Linked DNA regions of Pelodiscus sinensis. The protein of the gene in region 1 purifies or fractionates together with the protein of each later gene. This does not show direct contact. Links are inferred from orthologs where the notes say so. Each region holds a gene or a part of one and is shown in the gene's direction. Other genes may lie near its edges.

Region 1 (9,917 bases):
GGACGTTGCTGTGAGTTGACTCTGCCAATAAAAACACTCAGGGAGCCAGTTCTGGAGCAGTATGCCTCCAGTCATATTCATTGCAAACATTAAAATATTTGTAAGTTGCTATAGCTGTTTCTGTCTGTTCATAAGTATTACAGGTCAAGTTGATAGAGACATAGGGCCTGTCTTGGATAGCTGGCAATCTGAGAGAGTGCCTGCCGGTCAGGATTTGGTGGCCTGTCATTGACTTCAGGGGTCCAAGTTCAATCCTTGCCAAAATATGGCCACTTCCTAGTGAGAAAATGATAACCTGCCAGTTGACTACCAGTGTGGATAATGCTAGGCAATTGCTGATGATTGGCACTAGGAAGGGGGTAGCCACTGACTGGTGATAGCTAACTTCCTGGGATTCATTAAATGAATTAGTGCATTATAGTAAGCAGCTGTATGTGTATTCATTTTTTTATTCTTCAGATCTTGAAATATTCTGTTTTTAGCCAGAACATAAGCAACTTTGAGTCCTTGAAAAACAGGTAAAGAGAGTACAAAGCTCAGGCAACGTAGTAAAACTTGGGTGTGTATGCTCTTACATCCCTATTTTGGTAACTAAATGAATGTCCTTATTGTTAAAAGAACTAACAACTTGCAGCTCTCATTGAAGTCAGTGAAAGTCTCTAAGTGCATTCAGCACCTCTGAAGTTCAGGCCAGATATTTAGGTGTTGAAATATGGTTTTAAGTAGTTAATTTCAGTAAACTAATTTTGAAACATTTTGCCTAAATATTAAAGCTCCCTACATTCATTTTTTTTTATCTGGAAGGGGAGCGAATAACACATCAGCTGTGTTCTTTCCTCATTCTGAAATCAAAATGTTAAATATGGTGGTGACAGTAACTGATAAGAACAAGTCTCCTTGAACTTGTCACCGCCTATCTAGCATGCCATTTGTGGAGACCTTTCAAGCCATTGGTGCAGGAACAAGTTAAATGTTTCAGTGCCAAAGTGTTCCCTTTTCCTTCAAGTTTAAGGCTGCTTTCAGACTGGAAAGAGGACAGGTGCTTGTGTCAGAGATAAAAAAAGTTTCTTTGATGTTTAACAGATGTGATTCCTGCACTCCTCTCATAGCTGCTGCTTGTGGGACAGAGGCAAAAGCTTAATGGAAAACGTGCTTTCTTGCAGTCAGATATGTTTGAGTTCACCTTTGGGCAATCAACCCAAGTTATTTGGAAAAGGGCAGGCACCAGCGAAACCAAAGATGAAACTAGTGAAACACTCTCACCTTCACACTTATAATTAATGAAAGTAATATAAATCTGCTCCAAACCATTTCACAGACACAGAATATCCAAGTTAAGAACAAGAAGCTAGATGGTAAATCATCCTTTCCCTCTCCCAGGAACCAATACAAGATTGTTTCATAGAACAGAGGACACCAAATGAAATTAATGGGTGGCAGGTTTAGAACTAATAAAAGAAAATTCTTCTTCAAACAGCGTGTAGTCAACCTGTGGAACTCCTTGCCAGAGGAGGCTGTGAAGGCTAGGACTATAACAGAGTTTAAAGAGAAGCTAGATAATTTCATGGAGGTTAGGTCCATAAAAGGCTCTTAGCCAGGGGATAGAAGTGGTGTTCCTGGCCTCTGTTTATCAGAGGCTGGAGAAGGATGGCAAGAGACAAATCGCTGATCATTGTCTTCGGTCCACCCTCTCTAGGGCACCTGGTGCTGGCCACTGTCGGCAGACAGGCTACTGGGCTAGATGGACCTTTGGTCTGACCCAGTACAGCCGTTCTTATGTTCAGCCTTGTTTTAAGCATCAAGCAATTGCACTTCCATTGCTTTTGGGATGAGAGGGTTCCGTAGCCTAATACATTGCTCTGATTAAGCTGCATATTAGGGAGAAAAAATCTTTTTTCATCCAATCACTCCTACACATACAGCACTGCTACACTAAAAAAATGCCTTCCCATTGATGTTTCCATTCTTTAACGGTAGGGTTATGTCCTTCCCCTTAGCCAAGGTATAGATATTTTGTTCTCTTTTTTTTGAACACAGTGCTCACAGATGATGTGATGCCTACAAGATGTGATGCCAAGGTTCAGACATGGTGGGATCAGGGCCTGGTGGAGGATGACTAATTCCCAGTCTTGTGACAGGGTCTCTTCCTGTAAACAGCCCAAAATTGCATTCGCCTTTTTTGTAACCCTGTTTCGTTGCAAAAAATTCATCTATTTTGTTCTTTGGTGTCACAATTGTCAGTTGGGTAAAAGTGTGATTCAGTTAAGGAAAAGGTATGTCATCTCAACTATCAAAACAAGACATGTGGGCATCTCTCTACCCCGCTGGTCAGTTCTGTTCCTCTTTGTCTTGAGTTAGAGACAGGATTCCAAGTACTCGGTTATAATTTGGAGGGCACATAGGTGGCCTCCTTGCTAAGAATAAAGTCCCCCACACAACTTTCTCCTTGAAGTATATACCTATGAATATTACTGCCTAACAACTTAGAAATATAGTTCTGATGCTTTGTATCCCACATTCTCCATGTTTGGATCTGTATAGCAATTAACCATCAATAAAACCTCACTGCTTGGGCACTGTGCCTTTTGGGATGATGGACGGGAGTTATATAACTTGCCCAAGAATACGCAACTCATTGGCTGAACTAGGATTAGAACAAAGGAACTGCAGGTCCATGTCTAATCCACCACTTTAAATATTAACAATATTTTAGTTTGCTGTTATTTCACTATGAAGACTCAATGTACCATAAGCTATCGCAACTTGTGGCAGATTTGACACCACAATTAACTTGGTTTCTTCAGGCAGTGAGGATGGACCAAATGGGTCTGCATTGTCTCTACTGGCAGAGGTCAACAACAAATATTGGTGGCAATGAACTAACTTTTTCTCTCTAGGGAACTGCTGTGACTCTATACTGCACTATTGTACTTACCAGAGCTTTCCCATTTCACCTAGTAAGTGAATGCTCTAATATGATGATCTCTTAATTAGGGAAGCATATTCCAGACTGCTCATCAGTCCTTGAAACATCCACAGTCTGATTTTTAGCAGTGGAGTTCACTAATGAAGGTGAAAATTTCACTGCAGCACCAGTGCAAAGACCTGAAATATGTGGATAGAACAGTTCTAAGATTACCCTGGTAAGACCACTGCAAAGGCGCTTTCACCTTGTATGGGATTCAGTCTGATTCCCTGCCTCAGGTATGGATTCAACTGGCTCTGAAAATCTTGGGAGAAGTGCCTGTCTTCTGACTTTATCTTTGAAAGTAGGTGCCTTTGGTTTCTTCTTGCTTGAAGCTGTTAATTAGTTTTGAATGAGTGTGGGGGATTAGTGGACTATTGAGCCTTCTTTGGCCAGACTTCTCTAGCAACTCATTTTATCTTTTAGCGCAACTCATTTTATCTTTTAGCACAGACAACTGTCGGTGTCATTGCTGCGATCTCTTCATATGCTGGATTTATCCTAATTTGTAATATGTGCAGAGGAGAGAAATTAATCAGAAGATCTCCTTTGACACCTTAAATTTATAACACCTACAGTGATCTATTAATATACATAGGGCAGTTGTCCACTAGAGGGCACATGAGCTTCACATTTGATACTCTTGGATCGTTAGTGAAGTTGACTTTGAATATAATTCCTCAATATTTTGTTTTGAGATCACACAGGTCACTGTAAAAAAGTAAAAGTGTGTGCAAAGTACTTGGTGGATCACTTTGTTTGAAGCAGAACAAGATGTGAATCGGGGTAGCAAAACCATCTGCAGAAAGGCTGTTCTCTCAGCTGCAATTTTTTCCCTGGATGTTATTTTGAAGTTGTATTTCAGAACTTTTCATCAGCAATCAAAGCCTCCAATACAGCCTTCAATGTCGCCGTTGGGCCGTAGCTGGCCCATTGGAAACACTGCCCAACGCAAGAGCTTCGTGCTCTTACTGACAAGGAGGGGTGTGTATGTACTGGGGGTATTTCCTTACAGATGTGATCCTCGCCCAGTTGAAATGCTGCTGTCATTGGGAAGTAGGTTATTTTGCTTCAGAAAATAGTAGCTTTGAAGGTGAACACCAGTTTCCCCATTGTCCTTTGTTAAGGTGTGAATTTAGTCAATGTGGAGGATCCCCATCCTGCTGACTGAGCAAGCACAGGCCCAACTTGGAGGCTTTGGGTGGAGAAGTAAACAGTGTAGCTTCCTTTTTCTGCTAATTAATGATTTTTGGCAAACCTTTCCTCAGTACAGGTACACACAGTAAATACATCAGTACATGAGCCACTGCTGATGCAGAGGGGAGAGTAACATAGCACATTGGACTCATGAGACTATGTGGGGCAGGGATGATGTCTGTTACAGGTTTGTACAGTACCTAGTGCGTGGTGCCCATCCAGGCTAGCCTAATACAATACTGGACATCCTGGCCTCTGTCTGGAGCCTGGGTAGTGGGTGAACCTAGTACTGGGAGAGGCAATTCCCCAGCCCCATCCCTGCTGCCCAAGGCCCGCCATGGGAGCCAACCCCACGTCCCATAGGGACAGGCCCCTAGTGGCACATGGCCCCTGCTTCCTGGCCCCAGTCTGTATAGGCATCACCTTCCCTTGCCTCTTTTACCCACGGGGAGCCGGGCTTCTGTCAGCCCTCAAGCCATCTGCCTGGGGCGAAGTGGCCCCTGCCGGGGGCGCCTGAGGGGGGGTGAGCGCTGGGCAATGTGTGTGCATCTGATTGTGTCCTAATCCCCCGAAGCTCCTTGGTCTGGTGCAGGGTGGGACTGGCCCAGCAGCAGGGCAGGTCTGGGGGCCCAGCTCGCTCCATGCCCCCAAGGAAGGGGGCGCAGGCCCAGGGAAGTGACAGGCACAGAGGTGGAGGGAAGGGCGGGGGGGTGCAATGAGGGGGTCCTGCCAGCAATGCATATGGTAGCATTGGGACGGTGCATTGCCCCCCCTTGACCCCTTCCCGATAACTGCTGAATGGGGTGCCCCCTCGCTGCACCCCTGGGGAGCCTCTGTGCACCCCTCCCCCACAGGCCTCAGTCCCACTGGGTAGAGCAGCTGTGGGAGCAGAGGCAGCCAGGGCTAACTAGGGCTGGGGGGGGGGGAGCGTGTAGGTAGCCTAGTCTCCCCCCCCCCCCCGAATGGCCTCGCCCAGGCACAAGCCGGCGCGGAGGGGGGGGAGGGGAGGCGCGCTCCTGGGGACAGCTCTGAGGAGAGCCCCGCTGCCGGGGGAGGGGGCGCCACGCAGGGAACAGCCCCAGGGGGCCGTTGCTCCTCCGGCGGCGGTGGCTCCGGTTGCCATGGCGAGACCCCTCCTCCGCTGACGCGCGCGGTGACGCGCGGAGCAGGGGGGGAGGGGGCGGGGCGGCGCGGCTGGAGGGCGCCGCACGGCCGCAGACGGACCGAGCCGCCGCCGCCCCCCGAGCCCAGCATGGTAATGGCCGAGCCCCGGCGGCCCCCCGCGCTGCTGCCCCGCGGGCCCGGGCCCGTCCGCGTCGGGTTCTACGACATCGAGGGCACGCTGGGGAAGGGCAACTTCGCCGTGGTGAAGCTGGGGCGGCACCGGATCACGCGCAGCGAGGTGAGGCGGCCGGGCCGGGGGGGGACCGGGCCGCCCTCGGGCACCGGCTCGTGAGGAGGCGGGGCCGGGCCAGACCCTTCCCCTCCCCCCGCCACGGGGGCCGGAGCCGAGAGGACGGAGGTGGCACCAGGTGCGCCCTGCCCTCCCAAGCCATCCGCGCCGCCGGCCCGCGGCTCCCTTTGTCCCGCCGCGGGGCCGGGGATGGAGCCGCCCCCCCGCCTCTCGCCCGCGGGGTCCGGCTGGGGGGGGGGGGGGACTCGCCCTTGGAGCTCGCCTCCCTCCCAGTCACCGTGACAGCAGAGCGAGCTTCCTCCGGCCCCCTGGGGCGGCCGCAGCCGGACAGGCGCGAGCCGGCGACGGGGCGCTGGGTTTGCCTTGGAGCCTGCACTTGCCTGCCCCTCTGCGGCTGCCGGTACCGGCGCTAGCAAGACACGGTGGCTGAGGATCCCCCCCCCCCTCCTGGGGCCAGCTTGCGCTGGTGGCGGAGCGAAGCGGTGGAGAACAACTCCTCCCCGCGCGGGTCTCGGGATGGTCAGCTCAGGAGGAGCGGTCAGCAGGTGGCTGATCTCTTTGTCACGGCCCAACGCCGAACAGCTTTGCAGCGCCTCATTTGTAACTGCAGAGGGGCTGGGGCGCAAACCATTAGGTGCAAGGGAGCAGGCGATTATTTTACTGTCATACCTGAGGTGCCAAGTGCAAGGGTGCTGGGGCTACGATGTGTCTAACCTGGCAAGCCCCAGCACAAATCAAGCACTGCAGCTTTGAATCCAAAAGGCTAAATTGTTCCTTATTCTGCTGTCCCGTTTGCATTCCGGGTAGTATCTTCAGGTGTTAGGGCCAGCTTCAGTACTTCAGTTTGAAGAATGATTCCTTCATATCCCATTCCCCTGAATCAGCCTGTCTGGGTACTAAATTAAAAACAGTCATCTTTTCAGAAATGCAAGTTATCCATTCAATACCAGTTTCAGAAAACCATAATTATTTTATGCATTATGTATAATTATACTACTAGTCTGCTTTGGTAAAAAGGTAGTTAGATATATTTTTAAAATATTAAATATCTGATGGAAGCAGCATGTGTGGATCTCATTGATTAATCATTGTAAAAAAATGAATACGTTCAGTTCCTCTACATGGATTTAATTGTTATATTTCCTATTTTTAATAAACCTTTTCCTTTGATGTGATGTGAATGATCCACATAGACAAGGAAACTGAACAAAACTACGGTATGTCAAAAGCACAAAGTAAACCAATTAAAAGCTGTAAGTTTTCACTCACAGTGATCTTAAATGATACAAGTATCAATAGACAGGAGGCAGAACTACATTTTTAACTCCAATGGTAATTTGACTGTTAAAATTGTTGAAGGCACATAGTAGTGGTCACTCTTCAAAACTGTGCACAATATTAGTGACCTTGAGGTCCCTTCCACCCTGCGTTTCTGTGCTTCTATGAAAATCCAAAGCATTAAAGGAAATTTAATCAAGTTATGGCTTAAACTGCAGTTTAAGAAGTAAAGGCACCAAGTCAAATGCTTTTTAAATCCTTTCCTTGCTACAAAAGATGACCCAAGTTTGGAAGTTGGAATTTTAAGTCATGTTGAGTTACAGTGTTAATGTTTCACTTATAAGGCAGTAGATAAATCTATTTGTTTTCTGGTCTTCAGTCATCTGGTCTCAGTGACACTGCTGTGTCAATCATAACTTTTCATTGTAATTCAGATATTAGATCTGTGTTCGGTTTTATGAAAACTTAAAATTATATAAAGTCCAAACAACTTAACACTCAGTTTGACTCAAGTTAGCTTAAAAAATGCCTGAACTAAAGTACGTTCTAAAAACTTTACTAAAGGTCAGTAGAAATAAGTTTACATTTGGTTAAATAGATTTGCATTTTGGTTAGGGCTTTGAATGCTGTGTTCAATTTGAAAGCTGTTTTTATAGTTCACGTTGTGAATTGCTACTACCATGATGGGGGTGATTCCAGGACTGTGAATGGCAGAGTGAAGTTATGAATAACAGTTGTATTTCACATGATCCAGCTCAAATTAAACCTATATATTACCCATAATTTTTGTAGCAGGTTTTCTGTTTCCAAAATTTTGAGATTAAACCAGGTTGTACACTCTTTTATTTATTTATTTTGCACAATCACTTCTTTCTACAACAAGACATCTATAAGCATAGGGTTTGGTTAGTAGGTGCAGCTAGCTGAATTGCAAGGGAGAGGGACCTTATTAACTCTCACTAATGGAAAAGGAAATTAACATTCTGAACAAGTACCAGTACTGTAAATCAGTGGACTCCAACCTTTTGGGGCTGCCGGGTGCCCGGGGTACGGGCCAGGCATGCACTGCGTGCCCGGGGCGCAAGAATGGCTTGGGCTTGCCCTGGTCACTAAGCGGGCGCCATGGCGCCCGCAGGCACTGGGTTGGGGACCACTGCTGTACATTGTTCAAATTCAGGCCAGTGAGTTCCACCAGCTCTGCAACATGTGTACACGCAAGACATTGGAAGGGTTCTTGATCTGCTGAGGCTTCCAGTGATTCTTCTAGAAGGGAGAACATTGAAACTCAGTGTGTAGCTAATAACACGTACGTGTATTTCTGGAGTTGCTCTGTGCTCATCTCACATTTAACCTCCTATATTTTAAGACTATCTTAAGTTTGTAGAGATGTAAGCGACTGGTTGCTCCCCTCCTCCCCCCCACACCCAGGGACTATAGAATAGTTGACTAACTGATAAGAATTCATGAGGTTAATCGACTATTCAGTTAACCAATATTTAATATCCCTAGTTTGGACAGGGCATGATGGAGAACCATGGAACCATGGGGGAGCTCCCAGCTTAACATGCCTGTGCCCTACTGAGAACCAGATTTGGGCCAGGCAGGAAGAGAGCCTGGTGGAGTAATCTGGGCCACTAGTCCTTATCCTGGAGCTCCATGCCCCACAGCCCGCTCCCCTCCTTCCATCCCTACTCCTCACTTCCATCCTCCATTCCTACACCTCCATCCCCCTGCTTCCATTCCTGCACTCACCCATCCTTCCTAACCCCACACTTTCTATCCCTACCCATACCTCCTTCCTCCATTCCTGCGCCCCCATCCTTCCCTAACACCTCCCCTTCTGCGCCCCCCACTGCCCATCCCCCTGCCTCCATTCCTATATCCCTCTTACCCCCACCATTCCCCCTTACTGCACCACCCATCCTCACACACACATTATTCCCCCTTGCTCCCTCGCTACGCACACCCTGCCTCCTTCCGTGAATTTGTCAAGCTGCATGCCCCAACCCCCAGGAACACCACTGTGCTGGGCAGCACAGCCCCGGCCACTGCAGCAGGAGCCACAGCCTACTCCCAGCCCAGCCTTTCCAAATGCACTTCTTGGGGCACTTTGCTCCTTAGTGAGCTCAGAGCACAGAGTGGCCGCTTTAAAGTGGCCAAGACCTGCTCAAGACCTATGGTGTGGCTAAGACCTGCCCAGCTTGTGGTGGACCCAGGAGAGCGTGCCTGAGCCAGTGGCCTGGTGTCAGGTTACTGGCACACGCCAGAGTGGCTTGCTCTAGGGGAGACCTGCGTCGTGGCCCCCAAGCTCTGTGCCCGGGCCGGGGCACACAGAGCATAGACACCTGGCAGGCAAGTGGGCTGGGCAGGCTGGGGATGGGCCTTGGGGGGCGTGCGGGTACGGAGCCACCGTCCTCTCACCCCCATTTCTCGGAGTGGTCACTTGGGTAAGGCTCCTGGGGCAGGGCCCCCAGGGAAGGGTGAGGTGGGATGCAGAGTGACGTTATGATGTCACTGTCATCCTGTAGGAAATTTTTTTGATAGAGATTACTTTAAAAATACAGTATCTGTGAAGTATATAAACCTGGTTTACACGCAGAATCCATCCTATGTGTGGGATCCTACGTAATGGAATTGTAATGAAATGCTGCAGGCCTTAAACTTACTTGTCATTAAATTAATCTAATACAGATAAAGGTCAAATTAGACTGAAGCAGAATGTGTACATAAGAAAAGGTGGTTCAGAATGTGGAGTGTTGCAAACTAGTTCTAAATTAAGTGTGAAATCATATAACTGCAACCTTAATTTTGCATCTGTGCACTCAAGTGAAGTAATGTGAAAGTTAATAGAAATGTAGTAATTGGTATGTATTCTCAGCAATGTTTGATATAGTGATCTTACCTCCCCGTAAGATCAGTCAGTACTAGATGTGTGAGAGGAGGCAGCTGCATTCTTGGTAGGTTTTTGCATGCAGTACAGATTTGATCAGAGAAATAGATTTGAGCATGACACAAGAAGTTATGTTCAGGAGGACAAAGGAAAAAATAGGAGATGACAGATCA
Region 2 (10,129 bases), on another chromosome or scaffold:
GTGCAGCGCTGCTGTCAAGGAATTCTGAAACAACCAACCAAGTTCCATTGCAAATTTGAAACTGTTCAGCTTTGCCCAAAGGTTTATAGACCTAGTGAGTTGTGATGGACAAGACCTGAACAAACTGCTGGTCAGAGTTCTCAAAACTCCAGGGTGAGTTTCTGGAACCTGTTTTTGTGGCTAGCCCTTAACTCTAGAGTGAGTCAAACAAAAGCATGCCTTCCTGGTTATGACCTTCCTTAAACTTTGGGCAAGTTTAGCTCTGGACTTTTGTGACTTGCTCTAAATTCTGTAAGGGACCAAACAAGAGATCTGGATCTCAACACTTGCAAATGTAGGTGAAGTACAGTGAGGGAGTTAACTATGTGTTTTAGGCACATCTGGAACTGGTCATGAGTGGAAAATTTTAGTTATTTGATTTATTTCTAGGGTTGTATGTAGCCCCCAGTACTGTGCCATCTGAGTCCCTCACAGATATCAATCTATCCTTCCAATAACCCCCTATTATAATCTTATGAAGGGTTGAAGATCAAGGCTACACATTTCAGAAATGGCCTATGATTTTTGGCAGCTCAGTTTCTGGATGACTAATATGAGACCATAAGAAAGGCCATACTGGGTCAGACAAAAGGTCCATCTATCTCAGTATCCTGTCTTCTGACAGTGGCCAATGCTAGGTACCCTCAGAGGGAATTAACAGAACAGGGAATCAAGTGATCCCTCTCCTGTCATCTGTCTCCAACCTCTGACAAACAGAGGGTAGGGACAGTTTTCCTACCCATCCTGGCCAATAGCCATTGATGGACCCAACCTCCATGTATTTATCTAGCTCTTGAGGCCTGATTTTTTTCCCGGAGAATGGGGGGCATAAAGGGAATTAGGAGTGGGAGATGCACACTGAGCCCTGGTATTACAGGACAGCGGATTGGGGATCATGGTAAGAAAGATTAGGGGACTCTGGTAAGGAGAGAGAAGGAGGAATGAAGAGGCTTGTGGGGGAAGGGGCAATAGGGGTGCACACAGAGCCTCTGGCAGGGCACATCCGCTTAGTTTCACCTCTGGATACAACCCTTTAGTGCTATATAGGAATAGTGGGGAGGTCTCTATTAAGAAAATCAGGCCCTTAGTCGAGTGTTTCAAGCTGGAAACACGAAATCAATGAACATTTTAACTTAAGTAGCTTGCTCCACATCACACAGTGATTTTTGTGGGGTAGAACTGGGACTACAATAAGATGTCCTGAATCTCAGCCCAATTTCTTCTTGGGGCTGATGTCTGATTTCTCATTTCAATCCATGTAAAATCATTGAATTTTTAGATCTGTTCGCACTGGAATTTCAAAGTGAAAGTTGAGGTCTGAGAACCCCATGCTGATGGAAAGCAAAGGGAATATTTATGCTAATCTCTCTAACGCAAACCTGACGAATTCTGCAAGGTGCTAACTTTATTAGATGGAGTCATTTATCCGAGTCCTGCATGTTAATTGCGGCTGAGGCTTGACCTGGGACCTAGTGAGCTAAAAGAGAGCCTTCCTCCTTTTCAAGCCGGCAGGAGCTGTGCCAAGCTGGTCTCAGCTGGAAGTCTTTCTTTGTAGATCTTACAGACTGTCAGGATGAAAGGTGGATGTAGGCTAAAAATGGCTCAGGAGCACGGTTGGGTATATGCAAGGAATAGCAATGAGAACGGAGAAGGGTTATCTAGTAAAATATGAACTAAAAGGCTACAGATGTCGTGGAAACCATCCTGAGGTGGGGGCGAGGGGAGAGCATTCAAACGGGGGGTGTGGCTAGAACAGAGAAATACTGGGTAAGTTGAATGAGGAATGTCATCAGAGGAGTGAAGAGAGACAGAGAAGACTCAACATCTGGCTGAAATAAGGAATGGGGCTGAGAAATACTTTGACAAATAGTTTAGGACAGAAATGATTGGTGCACTGAGAAGGCGGCTTTCTCGGGCACAGATGCTGAAATCTATTCCAGGCCTTTTTTAATGCGATACATCTAACAGCACAAATAAAACACACAACCTCCCCAGGATGGGGTTTATACCCGAATTCTTTAGAGAATATGGTGCTAATTCTTTAAAGCGCCGTGTTAATTTGTAACATGAATCAAAGGGAGCCCAAATCAGAACCTTTTCTCCAGCAGCTAGTGGACCCTGGGTACAGTTGTGGGTGCAGCACAGATGGCAAGTGCTGGCCAGAGAAATGAGCACAGCTGGTGCTGACAGGCACAGGGAAGTAGCAAGCAGCGGTTGATCAGAGGTGGAGGTGCAGTGTGCCCAGCAATAAGTGGGTATGCCCTGTTAGGGAACATAGTTGATGGAGACAGGGCAGGGGGGTAGGAGAAATGAATGTTTGTGGCAGGTGCTAGGAGGAGGTGTGGTGCAGTGGTCACAGGGAGCAGAGAAGTTGATGGATATTCAGTTGATGGGAAGGGCTGAGCAGATGTGCAGGTTCTGTGTAGAGTGGTAGGAGCTGGGGAGATTTGTGAATGCAGCTTACTGAGGTGCAGCTAGCAAGAGGTGGAGATGCATGTAGATGCAGTGGGCACAGCTGGGCAGATGTGCCGGTATAGTGAATACAGTGGGTGGGAATGGCTAGGACCATAGGTGTGGCAACTAGGGGTGTAGGAGTGCTGCAGCATCCCCTAGCTAGAAGTGGTTTCCATTATACACAGGGTTTCCAATTTGGTACAACAGCTGTCAGCACCCCCACTAAAAATTGTTCCAGCACCCCTGGCTGGGATGCAGCTGGCAGGAAGTGGGGACAGGTCTGAGTGCAGTGGGCACAGCTGGGAAGATGTGTGGCTGGGATGGGCTGGGATGCAGCAGGCAGGGGTGGGGTAGTGCGGGTGCAGTGGGCACAGCTTGGGAGATGTGTGAGTGCAGTGAGGACCCAGCTGGCAGGAGGTGGGGTGCAGTGGGCACAGCTGGGAAAATGTGTGGGTGCAGTGAGGACCCAGGAGGTGGGGTGCAGTGGGCACAGCGGGCACAGTGAGGATGCAGCCGGCAAACCGTGGGGATAGCACGGGTGCAGTGGGTGCGACTGGGCAAATGTGCGGGTGCAATGCACACAAGTGCGGGTGCAGTGAGGATCCAGCCGGCAGGAGCTGGGGCACAGCTGGGCAGATGTGCGGGTGCAGTGAGGCTCCAGCCGGCAGGAGCTGGGGCACAGCTGGGCAGAGGTGCGGGTGCAGCGAGGATTCAGCCGGCAGGAGCTGGGGCACAGCTGGGCAGATGTGCGGGTGCAGCGAGGCTCCAGCTGGCAGGAGCTGGGGCACAGCTGGGCAGATGTGGGGGTGCAGCGAGGCTCCAGCTGGCTGGAGCTGGGGCACAGCTGGGCAGATGTGCGGGTGCAGCGAGGATCCAGCCGGCAGGAGCTGGGGCACAGCTGGGCAGATGTGCAGGGTGCAGCGAGGATCCAGCCGGCAGGAGCTGGGGCACAGCTGGGCAGATGTGCGGGTGCAGCGAGGCTCCAGCTGGCAGGAGCTGGGGCACAGCTGGGCAGATGTGCGGGTGCAGCGAGGCTCCAGCCGGCAGGAGCTGGGGCACAGCTGGGCAGATGTGCGGGTGCAGCGAGGCTCCAGCTGGCAGGAGCTGGGGCACAGCTGGGCAGATGTGCGGGTGCAGCGAGGATCCAGCCGGCAGGAGCTGGGGCACAGCTGGGCAGATGTGCAGGGTGCAGTGAGCACAGCGCACGGGGCTGGTGAGCAGGAGTTCGCCGAGAGGCGCCAGCGAGAGCCGCAGGCGCGGACGCAACCGAACCAACCGTCTTCCCCGGACGCCCCTCCTGTCCCCTCCCTTCTCTCTGGAGTTCTCACCCCGCCCCTACCCCTCTCCGAGTGACGTCACCCCCCCAGCTCAGCCGGCGCCATTTTGAAACTGGAAGCTTGGAACGAGAAGGGGGGGGGGGCGGGCTGGCAAGGAAAGACCGACGCGAAGAGCGCGGGGGAAGCCGAACGGAGCCGGCTTCGCACCGCCCCCCCCCCGGGGGACAATCTGCCGCCATCCTCCCTCCACGCTCGCCACCCGCCCGGCGCAGCGGGCCGCCTGGAGAGCCGGGAGGCCGCTCTCTCCGACCCGGCCACTCGGGAGCCCAACATGGCAGGTAAGGGGGAGCGAGCCCCCTCCTTCCCGGGGGCCGGCCCCCGCTGCCCACAGAGCCCAGGGGGCGGGGGGAGGTCTGTGGAGGGGCAGGCGAGGCCGCTAAAATGGCCTTGAATCAGCCAGCCACGCTGAGCTGCTGCTGCCTGCTGTGCGTGGAGGTGGCATGGACTTGCTGGGCACCTCGGTCTCCTTTTCCTCCTTCCCTCTCTCTGGTGGCTATTCCTCCCTCGGAGTGTGGGCTCGGTTTCTCTTCCTCCTTTTTAAAAAATTTGCATTCCTAAAACCTTGAATCCTGAAGTGCCCTTTGCATTGCATACGCTTGTCCTATTTTTTTTTCCCCTTCTAGAAATCTGTGCTCCTTCCCCTCTTTTGCTTCCCTGCTTGCAACACATTTGTGTTTCACAAGGAAGAAGGTGGATGGAGGTCTGGGGGAAAAAGCCTTGTATTTCTGAAGTTCAGCGTGTTAGGAGGTTTCTAAGCTGGGTGTGTCTTTTTTTTTGGCTTCCCCAGACTTTCTGGTTTTGCGAGGAAATTGCACGTATGTGTTGTGTTGAAGGGGGTGCAGATCTGTACAGGAGAGTGGCTGTAGGGTGCAGATGCGATTGTGTTTAGAGTGCAGTTGCACCCTACTGTCGGGTGCAGCTATGTGGGTAGCTGCAGAGAAAGGTGAAATTGGGAAGAGGATGTAGTTTCTTAGAAAATTCAAGTCTCTCTGAGCGTGTGCAATAATGCATGGTGGTTGTATGTCTAATTTTCTTAATTCTGGAGATTTATGTTCATTCTCCATTTTTCAGGTTGTTTATCTTGCATCCTAAAGAGCAATTTGGAAGATAAAAATTATCCACATGCATAGGATGTCCCTGTCTCTTTCTTGTGGTGATATGTTCATTTCCCCCTTCTGCAAATTAATTGCCTCTTCAGTGCCATGCATTTTCTAGAGCAGCATGAGAGGCAGTATTTAGGTTTGCACCTTGCTTCCCACACGCGCACACACACCAGGCTATGTCACTCCACCCTTTTGAATCTGCTGAAACAAGGCCTTTAATGTAGCAAGTTGCATAAAAAATAAAATACAGTTTGCAGCATATAATGTTTTTTCTTGCAAACAGACATTCTCAAAATTTTTCCATGGTGTTAAAAGTAAGAGTCAAATACAGATGGGGGGAGGGGGGAGAGGAGAAATTGGATGGATAGGGGTTTTGGATGGTTGGTGAAAGATGCTGAAAGTGGGATACTTTCCCTATACATGTATCAAAAACAAATATTGCGGTTCATATTGTATAGATCAGCGTTTCTCAACCTTTTTTTTAAGTACCCCTTTAAAAAAAAAAAAAGTACGCCCAGTACCTACAGTTATATTTTTTTAAAGGGGTACTTAAAAAAAAAAAGGTTGAGAAACGCTGATCTTTACAATATGAACTGCAATATTTGTTTTTGATACATGTATAAGTACCCCCAGTACCTACAGATTTCAGACACACTTTTTTTTCTACCATTGCAGGACATTTATTTACACAACTTAATCGTAGCCAGGCGGGCAATGAAATTTTTGGGTGTAAAAAGTACAAAAATAATAAAGCACTGTAAAATTTAAAAAAATTCAGTTTTCTCCAAATTTCAGTTGTGTTGACGTACCCCCCTCCAGACTTCTCTTGTGTACCCTTAAGGGTACTCGTACCACTGGTTGAGAAACACTGGTGTAGATTGATATCATGATAAGATTTCCCCATCACCTTGGCTGATTCTAGTTCACGTTGTCTTTCCTAATTCTTGGACTTTGTAAGAAGCTCCAAAAAGATATTACAATCTAATCCTTTTTGGTTTATTCCTCCGCCTCCCCATGCCCTCTTTGCCCGAGCAGCCTCTTGATCCCTCATGGAGAGAGGGATCATCCTGCTGTTGCTAACTTGAACTTAAGTTAATTTGTTCCTCAACTTGGTGTGGGTGGGGTAGGGAAGGATCCTTCCTGCATGTCCCCTCTTGTTCCCCAAAAATGTTGCATCACATTAATGCCTCACAAGATACATCTGTTCTTTTTTGGTTGTGGGTTGAGAAGGAATTTCCATTTTGATATCCTCTTGCAGACAGAGCAAACTTGTTTCAATTTCTCTTCCTGTCTGGACCCCAGCCCAGTGATTTGCTAAGAATGAAATGCAAAAGAAAGGGGTGGATTTTTTTTGTGTGCTTTTGGGTGGTGAGGTTCAAATGAATCACTACCTTCTGCGGAGGTGGTAATGTTCCTGAAGTTTTCTCTTCGACCCATTTTCTACGGTAGTTATACTTGCTGTTAGCTTAAGGCAGATTGTTCAGTTTGCTGCACAGATTCCTTGCTTTTAAAAAAATCTAAGCCTGACAATTTCTTTAGCTACTATTACGACAGAGGAGGGAAGAGGTTTATAAACTTGCTTTAAAACTTGTTTCCTCTAGTCTGAAGTACTTAAGCGGTATAAAGTATTTTGCAAAAGAAAAATTGTTTCCTTTTTTTTTTATAAAGTGCCAACATTTAATTATTTGAAATATTTGGAAAACTTGTTAGGGCCATTCTCGCACCTAATATTTTACTTTGAAATTTAAGTCCCTTGTAAGTGAAGTGCTCTATGTTTTAGAGGGCACTGAAGTTTTTATATTAAAAAAGTGTTGTGAAATATACCAGCTGTTGCTCATTTTTAACATAACGTAGTTTTATTAACACTAGCCGTGCTTGTTTTGATAGTTCTGTGAGTTTTTTCATCAGTTACAAAGAGCAACTTTTGTCATTCTATCATTACTGTTGACAGATGTTGCTTTAAATATTGGGCAAATCACGGGCAAAAGCATTGTCAGGGCGGGGAGGCGGTGGGTGGTGGAGTTGCAGAGAGACAGTTTGTAATCAAGTTTTGGAACCTATGTCTTTGCATAAGAAATTTTGATTGTTGTAGGTGTGTCCAGTACTGACTAAATTGTGTCACTTGCCAGCGGTGGCTACCATCTCCGTTTACTGGAATCAATTATTTGTTTTGCTTTCTCTAGGAGCTGGAGGAGGAGGGAATGACATTCAGTGGTGTTTTTCTCAGGTGAAAGGGGCTGTAGATGATGATGTAGCAGAAGGTAAGAACAAACTTCTTCACAGTGACTACATCTGATTGCTGTTGGTTAAACTTAGCAAGGGTGTTGCTGAAGTATTTCCTCCAAAACTGGGTTTTACTGAACGTCATTTTAGCCAAATCAGTAGTGCCACAAGACCACTCATTGTTTTTGAAGTTATGGACTGACATGGCTACCCCTCTGAGATAATTTTAGCGAAGTAGGAAAGCAAGTAGAAACATTGTCATTCCAGTATATTCTGGGATCCGATTTGTATATGGTAGAAGTGCAATTCAGCTGATATCCCTGGTCCTCCTGCTGTTTGTTAGAATTGAATTTGCCCCATAGATTGCAACACTAGTTAACTTGTTTTCCAAAATATCTGTCACATGACACGTAATGGCCATTGAGACTGAGGGACTAACTTGTCTGTTTTCCCCATCAGTGAAATGGGAATAATGATATTTTTCATAAATTCTCGCAACAACCCTCTAAAGAATGTTTGCACAGCACCTTGAAGATGTAATGTATCTGACACTATGCAAAACATCTCCCAGTCTTTCCATGCTGATTTATAAATCAGAATTACAAGCTTTTTTTGTACAAGCTTTTCAAGTATCAGTTATTTTTCATGATGAATTATTAGTGGAAACTGCCTCTACACTTTCGTAGTATAAGGTTCCTGTTAGGGATGTGAATGTGTACATGGTTAATCCATGAGCCTGGGCTCATGAGTTAACATGCACAGTTACACACAGTCCTTCCCCTCACCTGTCGCGGCTGCATAGGTGGGGTGGCGAGAGCTGGTGCATGCAGGGAGCTGGCTTTTAAACTGGCTCTCCGTGTGTACCAGCTCCCACAGAGCCGCCTCCCTGTGCATGTACCCGCTCCCATGGAGCCATCTGCCTCTGAAATATCTGGAAATGGTGCTCTTCAAAAGTTTTGTGTGATGCTTAGCAACTGAAAGGCTTTAGAAACAAATAGGTTGTAACAGATTTCAATAACTTCTAATATATTTTGCCTAAGATGGATATATTTTAAATTGTTCAGCAATTAGCATTCAAGATTGAATGTTAATGGCAATTTAGATAATGGTTGTATAGTTTTTTTCCTACCAGACTTCAATTTTTATGGATTTTGTTTGGTATTCTGTAGCTACCTGGCTTTTGAATTAAATGTAAACAATTGAGGAAATCTTGACTCTGCCTATTTTCCACTGATAGATGAATCCTATGAACAGGACGGAAGAATATTAGAGCTTTTCCTTTTATGTTCAGGCATCTGTTCCGTTACATATAGTAATGGGTGGTAGTTGTTAATAAGGTTTTTATGGGGGTGAATTTTTGTGTTGCGTGTGTGGGTGTGGTGGGATTTTTTTTTGTATTGTAGTAAACAGCTGTGATTAAATGGCTCTTCCAAAGATCTGGAAATCCAAGAGCCAGACTTATTTCTTAATTTCCCCTCTTGGTTCTTAAATATTATAGTTCCTACACTGAGTATGAAAGATGATTTAACTTCCTGACAGCTGCAATAGCTAGCCACAATACCTTAACTCAGGGTTTCCCAAACTTTCTCAGCCAGGGAGCCTCCATGGGTCCTGAAAATTTTGTGGAGCCTTAAAATTTAATGATTTTTAATTTAATAGGTACCCAGATAGACAGACAAAGTTTAGAAATTCTGTTTTTATTTCTTGTTTATTTCTTAATTTTCTGAAGGGGGGGGAATATATATCAGAAAATTAGTGACAAAATAACAGGGTCATACAATTGTTGTTAATATTTTCTCAAGCAGCTGCTGGACCCCAGGGCTCCACAGAGCACACTTTGGGAAACCCTGCCCTAACTAACTTGCATTTCAACATGACTGTGTTGCTTTTAACAAATTTTTGTATAAATATCTGGTTTTAATTGTAAAAAGGATCTGAGTTGCTCATTGTACAAGCTTTTTCTAGATAGAGACAAGAGTATGACTTCATAGTCAGCTTATATCATCTTTTTGGAAAGGCTTTTTTAGTGTTCAATGGGGGAGAAGAAGACTGGGATTTTGAAGACAGGGATTTTTTGTAGTCGAGATGTACACTGGAATAGCTGCCTAAGTAAGGTCCTAGGAAAATTAAATGGGGCTAACCGACCATAGTGGATTTTGTTGAGTGGGAATTTTTACCCATATGGATGACTCTGATATAGCATTATGAAAACCCTTACAGAACAACTGAAAGATGTCTGTCCATCTAATCAAACAGTTACTTAAGCTCCCACCCAACTATTTAAAGGTACTCGTATACTGGAGATGTCTCTTATCCTTGAAATACTGTTCCAGTAGCTTAAACCCTGTGTTTAATTGCATTTCTTAAGTTTATTTTCTTGCATTTGAGGTAGTACTACCTATGTACTCAGGAAACACATGTTTTAATCATCTTCTTTATGAATTTGGGACTACCATTTGACATGTCTGGTATTGTATAGTGTCTCCTTTAAATTGCATAGAAAGAAGTACAGGCAGTCCCCGACTTACGCGGATCAGGCTTATGTCGGATCCGCACTTACGAACGGGGCTTTTCTCGCCCCAGAGCTCGCGGGCGGCGGGACCGCCCAGAGCGCAGCTGTCCTGCCACCGCGTCCTCCGGGGCGAGAAAAGCTGCTCCGGGTCTCCCTGGTGTGCTGGGGGGGACTCCCCAGCACAGCAGGGAGACCCGAGCAAAGCCGCACAGGCAGCGGGACCCCGCTACCCATGCGGCTTTGCTCCTTTGCCCCGGAGCAAAGCCGCAGAGGCGGCGGGACCTCTGCGCCTCCGCGGCTTTGCTCGGGTCTCCCTGGTCTGTTGGGGGGGGGGGGGGGGGAGGGGGCGCAACTAGTGCGCCCCCCCCACCCCCCAGCAGACCAGGCTTTTGTTGCGTGACGCCTGGGGTAGAGCAGCTGGGGTGCTGCCGGGTTGGTCCTGCGGGGACCTACCCGGCAGT
Region 3 (9,798 bases), on another chromosome or scaffold:
ATATCACAATAATTTTTGCACTCTCATCATAGCCATGTTGATCCCAGAATATTAGTAAGACAAGGTGGGTGAGGTAATATCTTTCAGTGGCCCCTCTTCTGTTGGTCCAATAAAAGCTATTAATGACCTCAGCCATGAGAAAAATGGTTCTATGAAAAATAGTGCTGGGAATGAGAAGGCAAGCATCAAAGTTAGGGTGGAAAGCAATCTGTTCATTGCTAGTCATTAGCTGGGATGGACTTGCATGGTCAACAAGAGTCAACCAGATGTGTGACTATAATAACGAAAGTTCTGCTGCTGTTTCATAACTAAATGACTATGAGACACAGTCGCCTCCTGTCATGACCTTGCATCTGTTTGTTCCTTTATGTAACAAAGTCCTTTCTCTTTTTTTAATGAAAATGCAGGGTGATTAAATCAGCAACGGGCAACCTAGGTTAGTGAATAGGTTGTGTGAGTGGCCCTCCTTCCTCTCTGTGGGCCACAAGATTGTCATAACCAAGATGGTCTCCCAGGATACATAGTTTGGCTAACTGCATTTGCGTACTTAGAATTTGTGCAATGTGCCAATTGAACAGTAGCAGTGCTTTGATTGGATGTAGAGGGAGCACACGGCTTTCACAGTCAATGTTGTGTGCAGTCAGCTCCCACTTCACTTCATGTACCCTTGCTTTACATGTGTACCACTTTAGTAATACTCAGGGCCAGATTAAGACCTTTAGAGGCCCTAAGCACTGAAAAGATTATGGTGCCCCCAAAATAAAAACAATACTATACCATCAAATCTCATTTTTTGGTGCCCCTGCTTTGCTGGTGCCCTAAGCACATGCTTAGTCTGCCTATTGAGTAATCCATACTGGTCGGGGAAAAAACAGTGACATTTGGCAATCTTGTGTGTGGGTAATGGTACACAATAACTCAAAGGTCACACACAGATGGACTGCATGCAACTTATGGGCCACAGGTTTCCATTGCTGTAAATGGAACTCATAAATCATTGAAGAGACTCCATAAACTGCAATGGTTCTAGTTTAGTGAAGCTAGTAAATATCTTACACCTAGACGCTACACTATATTCCAAACTAACTTTTCTAAAAGTTAGGAACAGATATTGCTTTGTTTCCTGTGCTATATACACTGTGCCTTTTAAATTCTAAAACCGAATTTGATTATTTTAAAAGTGTGATCTTTCATTTCTAAGACTACCTTGTTATTAGTTCGATCTGGTGACCGGTCTCACAGAAGTTTGCAGCACTTTAGAGAGTTTTTTGGTTCCTTTCATGATTATTTTTAGATGAGGTTGTGCTATATTTTTCCCTGCTTTACATTAGGAGACAGCAAGTGCCATGTTGCTGCAATCTATGTCAATGCAAGTCTGTATCTGCATCTTATATTTAGTGCAAATCTATCTACCATCTCTGATTTATGTTCTTACAAAGAGGGTGGTATGTAGCTGGGAGTACCACAATTTCTACTTGTTTAGGTATCATAGGCAGCTGTAGTTGTTTTCTTCCTGTTGGAGTGAGAAGATGATCAGGGCTTAGAATCCAGTCTTGGGTTACATTATTGGCTGTGTCACAGATTCCCTACTGCAAGTCACTTCATCTCTCTGGGCCTCAGTTTCCCCTCTGTAAAAGGGGACAATAATACCTAGCACAAAGCAGTATTGTGAAGACAGATTTAAAAAACATCCAATTCCTGACTTCCATTATCACATTTCTGTGTACAGTACAAAGTTGAGAAATTCGGGAGAGTTATCAAGATGATTTTGTGGCTTACACACCTAGGCTACATCTACACTGCAGGCTTTTTGTGCAAGACCAGCTGTTCTTGCACAAAAACTTGCAGAGTGTCTACACTGCACATGCGTTCTTGAGCAAGTAAATTTACAGTAAAGCCTTGGAACAGAGGGCTTCTTGCACAAAAGCTATTCCTCTCCTCATGAGGAATAAGTCCTTTTGTGCAAGAGCTCTTGTGCGAGAAGGCAGCATGGATGGGCAACAGGGGTTTCTTGTGCAAGAAACTCCTATGGCTAAAATGGCCATCAGAGCTTTCTTGCGCAAGAGAGCGTCTACACTTCCATGGATGTTCCTTGTGCAAAAGCAAATCTCTTGCGCAAAAGCACAAGGCAGTGTGGACGCGCTCTTGCACAAGAATTTTTGCACAAGAACTCTTGCGCAGTACAGTTCTTGTGCAAGAAGCCTGAAGTGTAGACGTAGCCCAAGTGTAACAGAATCTTGTGCTGTGCATACACATATGTATATAGGTCTGGGGGGAGATATTTAGGTCTCCCTGCTTTTTGCTGCAGATCTCATTTAAAGACCTCAAACATTTTTATCCACAAATACCCATGAAATGAAAACTGGGACATGATGTACCGCTCCAAATAGCACTTAGATACCCTAGTAACTGGACACTAGATAAATTACATAAAAAATAGCAGTTAAAGGTAAAAGAACTATGGTTTTATGAATAAAACCATGTGTAGTGGGGACTTGAAAAGTCATAGCGGTAGAAACTCCAGCCCATTTTTGGTGCCATTTAAAAATAGGAATAGACCTGAACTAAAATTTTGGATAAACTACAGCAAATTGTGTGGGATTCAGATCCAAGTGAGAATTTTGCAGCTGGACTCTTCCTGTAATGGGATAAATGAAACCTCTGGTTCCAAACACTGGAAAGACTTCGTACTTGAATTCAAATATTGTGACTTGGGTTTATCTCTGAATGTAGAACTCCATGACTTTTGAGATACCGCTAATCGTGTTCCTTTTTTGTTCCTTGAGCCCTAGTCTAGACAACATGTGGTAAACACACTTTAATAGAAAAAGTTAATTTGATGGGAATTCTCTTTGGTTTTTCAAGGTTACTTCCACACTTTACGAGTCCCTTGATTATTTTGCAATGAAGCAAAATGAAGATAAAGAGGAGGACAACAAACATTCTGTTGCTTTTTCATCCAATGCAGCAGATTAGTAAATCTCATGACTTACAGCATCTGGGAAATCCAGAAGATGTGAGGAAGACAACAAGGACCCTACACCCATTTTGACAGTCCAGGGCTGAAAGTTCTTATCATTAATGCGATATAGATAAAACTAGCAAGGCCACAGAGTATCATAGCATAATTTGCTTCTTGATCTTGCAGTATACAACTCAAACCCAGTGAAGTCTCTTTGCTGTCCCTGGCACACCACTGTGACAGCAAAGCTGGTATGGTACCAGTAGTAAAGTTGGTTCAATATAATGGGGGAAGAGTATTTGTGTTATTGACTCATGCCAAATTCCAGGAATCTTTTGTTGGTGGTGTTTTAAAAGTTTGATATCTCCCTGTTTTGCTATTTACCTGGGAGTTTTTTGTGATGTAGCGGCTTTTCTCTCCCCCACTTTCCACATCCTAGTGTGCAGGAGCATGATACACAATCATACTATGAGGATTTGCCAAACTAAATCTCATTGAACTATTAAACATGCTGCTTCAGGCAATGGAGAGTACATGATGGTTTACAGCAGCGGTTCTCAAACTTTTTGAGCTCCGGAGACCTTTACATGAATAAAAATGTATGTGGAGCCCCAGCGATCCACTGATTGTCTGTGTTGTACCTATTGATGTTTCTAGTTTGTCAGCCTCATGGAGCCCCTGGAGATGTCTCCTCCGTAGACCACAGTTTGAGAAACACTGGTTTACAGGAAGGTGGAGAAAAACCGCACACTGATAATCACCAAGACAGTTGGGCAATACTTTGAATAGGATGAAATCCTTCCTGGCCTCTGTGGTGATCACCAGATGCACTGAAAAATTAGATTTCATTACCCTATCTTAGCATAGGTGCGAAATAAATTACAGTTTGAATATTATACTTAATAAAAGCTAATTATAACCCACTTTGGAGGGATAAGATTTTGGATGCTGAAGGCTGATCTTATACTGTTTTTTTTCCCTCTCTGACAACCTCAAAAATAATCACAAAAATTGTTCAAAAACTAAAGACAAGATTAAAAATGGACTTTCTATAAGCCTAGTAGAAGACAAACATTAACAGCAAACAAATGCAGCATCTTAATATTTTAGGCTTATTGAAAACAGAGTAAGTGGCCAAAACATCAGTGTGTTTGTGTAGCAAATCTTTTGTCTGCTGCTAAGGCTCATTCTGTGGATTGTTTTCTCAAAAGCAGGCACAGGTAAGCAAATGTTATCATTATGTAAGAGGGTACTGATCTAGCGGGACCCTGAGGGTGCCAACAAACACAGACTGGCTTTTTCAAACTGCTCAGCAACAGCTGAGACACTTTAAATGTTATTCTGCACCTTTTCAATGAAAAGGGAATGGTTTCCAAGTATTTTCTTTGTGTTGATGTTTGTGGTAAAGAGAGAGAGAGAAAGTCATTTGGTAACAGTGCATCGCTCAATCACTAAACCTAAATCGACCTGTATTTAACTTACATGTAAATAAAACAAGATTGTCTTATTTATTTCTCTGTTATATTTTAGTCATTTAAATCACAAGCACTGGTGTCTCTCATTCTTTTCATAATTTTAATCATTACAGGTTTGTTCTCTTCAGTGTAGGATAAAACCGTCATAAAAGTGTCATGAAGAACTTTTCTTCTATAGATCACAGATGTGACTGGTGACCCATCAGATTGGCCACTGTTCTGTGCTGTTTGCTTGTAGTTAATTAATTAGTTAGTTTATTTTGTTCTCCAGTGTTCTTAATATCACACTGCAGAATCTACTGGAAATTGTACATAGGTTGCAGGAGGAGAGATGGAAGAAAGGAGAAGTATTTTAATACATTTGTGTATAGCTGATGACACACAGAATTGCTACATAAATCACACAGATCTAGGGACTTAGAGCTAGACATTTTATGAGCTCCAGAAACACAGTTCTCTAACAGCTGAGTTAAAATACATTTCCTTTAGCTGCTGGTAAAAGTACAGTTGTCTTATTCTTTCCATGATCATTCAATCTCTCCTCTCTCTCTCTCTCTCTCTCTCTCTCTCAGAGAGAGTACTAGTATCTTACAAAGGGAAGGGGAAAAATGAAATTACTTTGTTCACAGCTCTGCATTTTCAGGGCTGAAATGTCCTGTCTAGTAATTGGGAAGTAGCATCTTTGCAAATGCCTGTTGGTCTAGTCAGGGTGAGTGTGTGAATTAGTCCAGAGGTCATAACGTCCTAGGAAAGTTTTATATCAAGTTCAGTGAAAGGAGTTTAGAAGAAATATACAATTTGTAAAGCTGAAGGCAACTTTAGTATCAAGACTTAGTGCTTGATCTAAGAAGCTGCCTAAGTAATAAATGGCTAGCAACAAATCTATTTCCCCAAATACCAGTGATTAGAACTGCATGTAAAATACTTACATCTCTACATATATTTTAGATTTGTGTGTCTGCCTGTCTGTGAGCTTGTCTGTGTGTGTGTGTCTGTCTGTTCAAGAACTCCTTCTAAATCAGTGTTTCTTAAACCTTTTAAGACCAAGGACCAAACAATTTTTTTTATGAGGAACACCAAGGATTTTTTGTTGAGGAAAAAAAAAGGTGATCTGCCCCTTTAAGGATGGCTATTTTAAATTCTGTTCTCTGCAGGACACCTCCGACTGCCTCGCAGCACACCGGTGTGCCACGGAACACAGTTTAAGAAACCCTGTTCTAAACAGTAAGAGCTAGGAGCACCAAATTTGGAGCGCAGCTTCCTCTTATCCTAACTTAAAGCACAGTCAGGGTTTACTTATGCCAAGAAAATGGGAAGTGCTGGGAATGGAAAGGGAGGGGCACCGAGGACGGACATGATACTCAGAATGGCCACTGGGGGCAGTGAGCCTGCAGGGGAGAGCAATGCTGCAAAGAGACCACTTGGGAGGCAGATGCACCACCAAGAGAGTGGCCAGAAGGGCTGGGGCTCCACCGCCTTGCTTGTGACCAGATCAGGTAAGTAGTCTCCCTGCCCCGAATCCTTCTCCTCTCCCCCAGCCCTTGCCCACAGCATGTGGCCGAGGGAGGTCCGTGATGGCTGGGAGGAGCAGGGGGGTGGGGTGGAAAGAAGGCCCTACTGGCTGAGACAGCTGGGGGGATGGAGGGAGGAGAGAGACGAAAAGGCCCTAACAGCTGGGGGAGGGAGAGAAAGCACCACTGGATGGGACCCTCTGCCCTGAACCTCTCTGCATCTCTTACCCCACCATATACATCCCCACCCTCTTGCCTTGCCTGCCCCTACATCTCCAAGGCTCTGCCCTGACTCTTGCACCCCCACAATGCCAGCACCCCTCCCTGAAGAACCCGGGCAATGCTGGGTAAGTCTTTTAGTACTTAATAAGGAACGGATACCCTCTGAGCTGCAGGTCAGCAACATGTCTGAATCGTTTTCTTGTTGGAAACTTTAGTAAGTATTTAATTATATGATAGCCTCACCAGTAAGGATTTCAGGATCTTCCCCTTGCTAACAGCTGCCTGCATTACTATGTATGACCAACATTTCTATGGTCTAAATTTTAAAGGGTACGCCCAGTTGTCCTGACCTACTTTTATCCATGAGTTGACTGTGGCAAGAAGCCAGCTGATTTATTTTCAGAGCTCACACCCTTTGCCTGAGCCCTGCTCAGTTAGCAAATATTTGATATATGTACTGCATTTCTTTCTTATGGGATTTTATGTGATGAAAGATTGTGCAATCCCTTTTCAGGACTTGTCACAGCATGTACATATCTTATGTTGCTTGTTGATTTTTTCCCACTGCTGCCATGTTCACTATGGATTTGCTTTAAAACAGAACAATATAATTAATCTCCTGCCATATTCTGACACCCAACATGATATTAATGCTGGCTCAATCAAACTCATAGGCCTAATAATAGAACTTTTCAAACTCTAAGAGAATCTATGAGGATTGATTTCAGCCACCATTTTGGCTTCTCCCCTCCTGAGCAAGGTATGCCTGGAGCCACATTGCAACAAGTTTAATTTGTCTGATTCAAAGCACTTCTCTGCCTAGAAGTAAAAAAAACAAAAAACCAAAAAAAAAAACCCCCAAAATGTATTAAACATCAGAGCAGCTATGCTGTCATGGACTCATGGGAGAATGCTGCAAAATCTCACATTTATTCTGTGGAACTGATCTACTTGTAGAGTCTTATTAATGTGATTGTTTAGTTCAGCCACAAAAATGGAGGGGAGGGGGGCGGAAAATCATTCTCCATGGTGGTTACAGTAGCAGCCCTGATAGCAGCACCATGACCTTGGCTCACCACTTTCTTCCCCTTTGCACAGTGACCAGCTAATGATGCAGTTTAAGCCTCGCTACCTAGACCAGTAGTCTCCAACCTTTTTAGGCAAAAGATCACTTTTTGAATTTAAGTCAATCCAGGACCTACCTCATACCTAGACCATCCTGCCCTGCTCTTTCTCTGAGGCCCTGTGCCTGCCCCACCCCTTCACGAAGGCCACCCCCTGCTCACTCTGTGGAGATTGGGTACAGAGGGGACACCATGACCTCTTACCCCTTCCTCTGTCTCCCCCACCCTGCCCAGCAAGCAGGAGGCTCCTGGGGGCAGCTCCAGGGCAGAGGGAAGGAGCAGCACCGTAGTGGAGGGAGGAGCAGCTGAAGTGCCAGCACTTGGTAGCCTTCTGGCCAAACCAGTTAGGATCACCCCTCAGAGGCTCCAAGATCTACCAGTAGATCCCGATCTACTGGAAGATGACCACTGACCTAGACAATGCTTGAGCACCAGAGCCTTTGTCCAGTGGTACTTGTGGCAGGAAGGTATGAAGCAGATGTTCCTCCTTCTGTGCTTTGTGGGGGCATTGACACAGATGATCTGTACTAGAAGGGGCTGTGTCAGTACCAGTGATGAAGACAAAGGCCTGGTTTGCACACAAGTTGAATTGGTTTAACTAAAATTGATTTAAAAACTGATTTTATTTAAATCGGTGGAAACCTCTGTTGGACACAATTAACTGCTTTTATCTGTCCAACTTGGGCCTGTACATTTACCAGAGTATGCTAAACGCCTATGTCAGGTTTCAAATCAATTTAGTAGTGTCCACAATGATTGAGTTAATACTATAGCAGCTTAAAAATACACGATTAGTTAAACAGGTGCAACATTGGGTGTGGGCCAGACCCAAATACAAAGTCTGTTTAATGCAAACAAGAGAGGGTAATAATTCTTGCCTTGCTCCCAGCAATAACAATAAAAATAAAACAATAAAATTTAATAAAAATGAAAGTTAAATCAATGCAGTAGCCCAGAATCAACAATTTGCTTGAGCCAAATGGAATTTGAAAGTGAAGAATTCTTATACCCCTCTTCTAAATCTAAACCTGTGATTTTCAACGTACTCGGAGGAAAGAAATGGAAAAACATCAAAATTATGACTACATGGTCTGTTTGTTTCACTGAACTAGAGAGGCTGTTAAATTCTCTAACCTCTTGCTGCTCTCTGCAAGGGGGAAGTGGGATTTTACACCCATGAATGATTTCCCATACCATAACCACTTGAAAATCAGATTCCAACTACTTTGTGAGGCCACATCATCCTTTAAGTGGGCAGGGAAAGCATCAATGAGTACAGTACAATGAAAAAGCAGCTATGACTCTTGTACCCTTCTATGCCCTTGGCTGATAATGGGGGTGGCAGTTATAAATAATTTAAGAAATTCATCAAGTGTTGTAGCAATCACCAGTGGAAAGTGAACTGCAAAGCACTTCAAATCTATTTTGCTTCACCAATAGGTGCTGAACGTCCCCATTGAGCAGGATAAGAAATATATACACAAGTAAATCAGTGTTAAAAACTTAAGAAACCAAACACCAGTTACGGGGCTATGGTCACTATATTCTGACTTCACGAGCCAAAGGACTTTGTGGGCAATAGTTGTGTCCTTGCATTTGAATTGGAGCAGAGTTATTCAGTAGGACTCTGGGAGTAGTTACAAACACAGTTGGCTGGACTACGAGTGGTACTAAATTGACTTCCGTGAGAGTTGGACCCATTCCTGTCAGCTTTGAATTTATCCTGTTATTTGTTTTTGTGCATTTCATTCAGGCAGCCCAGTAGGGCGGTGACTGTTTGTAAAATGAACTTCAGACTCCAAACTAAACCTTTGTTTAGTGAACCTCTACCAGTTTGGTTTTGCAAAGAGCAGGCAAATGTTCTTAAAGGTATTTTAAAATTCTCTTCCCAATCAACAGAAGACTGTGTAGCAATCTCTGCAATCAACAGAAGACTGTGTAGCAAGCTAACAGTCTCACTGAAAATCTCATACTGTGAGAGCTGAGGTTTCCTGAGGAAGTTGACAGCAGAAAGAGTCACAACAGGAATAACATTCTCCTTTGCATGCCACAAGGGTCCACACCAACCTAAAAGGTGTTTTTTTTTTTAATACAATGCATTTAGTGTAAAAAAAATTAGTGGGCCGAATCCCGTTTATACATATCATTGGCACCCTTTATGAGATGCTACAGAATAAATAGAAGCAGTCCAGCTAGGTGAGTCTCATCTCTGGGGCAGAGAGGGGAAGACTGAATTGTCACAGCATAAGCAAAGAGCTTTCTATGAACTGAAAAGGCACTCTTTGCACTGGAGAAGTATCTTTCTATTAGGGGTTTGCACCACATCAGTGTGACTATATGGGTACAAAACCCCCTGAGGTAGACAAGGCCTTAGTCATAAAATATGGGAGAAGGGAGAGAAAAGCAAAGGTTATATTGATAAGCTCACCAAGGGAGTTGGAAAGACTATCACTGACTTCAAGGGGTTCTGCATTTGGCCTTCGGTTATTCAGTAACCTACAGAC

What was found.
Region 2: the proteins of SIK2 (region 1) and PPP2R2A purify together in Homo sapiens (affinity purification with mass spectrometry; 3 studies listed by BioGRID and IntAct, with this or other methods). This does not show direct contact. The link is inferred for Pelodiscus sinensis from reciprocal best matches to the Homo sapiens genes SIK2 and PPP2R2A.
Region 3: the proteins of SIK2 (region 1) and PPP2R2C purify together in Homo sapiens (affinity purification with mass spectrometry; 3 studies listed by BioGRID and IntAct, counting the BioPlex papers as one, with this or other methods). This does not show direct contact. The link is inferred for Pelodiscus sinensis from reciprocal best matches to the Homo sapiens genes SIK2 and PPP2R2C.

The regions. Positions count from the first base shown.
Region 1 is NC_134736.1:6,544,019-6,553,935, forward strand, and holds the start of SIK2 (serine/threonine-protein kinase SIK2), read left to right. Parts: upstream 1-5,271; 5' UTR 5,272-5,414; coding exon 5,415-5,564; intron 5,565-5,800; exon of another isoform or gene 5,801-6,121; intron 6,122-9,917. UniProt on the Homo sapiens protein: Serine/threonine-protein kinase that plays a role in many biological processes such as fatty acid oxidation, autophagy, immune response or glucose metabolism.
Region 2 is NC_134738.1:8,922,737-8,932,865, reverse strand, and holds the start of PPP2R2A (serine/threonine-protein phosphatase 2A 55 kDa regulatory subunit B alpha isoform), read left to right. Parts: upstream 1-6,256; 5' UTR 6,257-6,341; coding exon 6,342-6,378; intron 6,379-7,116; coding exon 7,117-7,194; intron 7,195-10,129. UniProt on the Homo sapiens protein: Substrate-recognition subunit of protein phosphatase 2A (PP2A) that plays a key role in cell cycle by controlling mitosis entry and exit. Involved in chromosome clustering during late mitosis by mediating dephosphorylation of MKI67.
Region 3 is NC_134715.1:112,513,450-112,523,247, reverse strand, and holds the start of PPP2R2C (protein phosphatase 2, regulatory subunit B, gamma), read left to right. Parts: upstream 1-4,895; 5' UTR 4,896-5,746; coding exon 5,747-5,933; intron 5,934-9,798. Other genes in the region: uncharacterized protein LOC102462366, read left to right, coding at 2,866-2,976. UniProt on the Homo sapiens protein: The B regulatory subunit might modulate substrate selectivity and catalytic activity, and might also direct the localization of the catalytic enzyme to a particular subcellular compartment.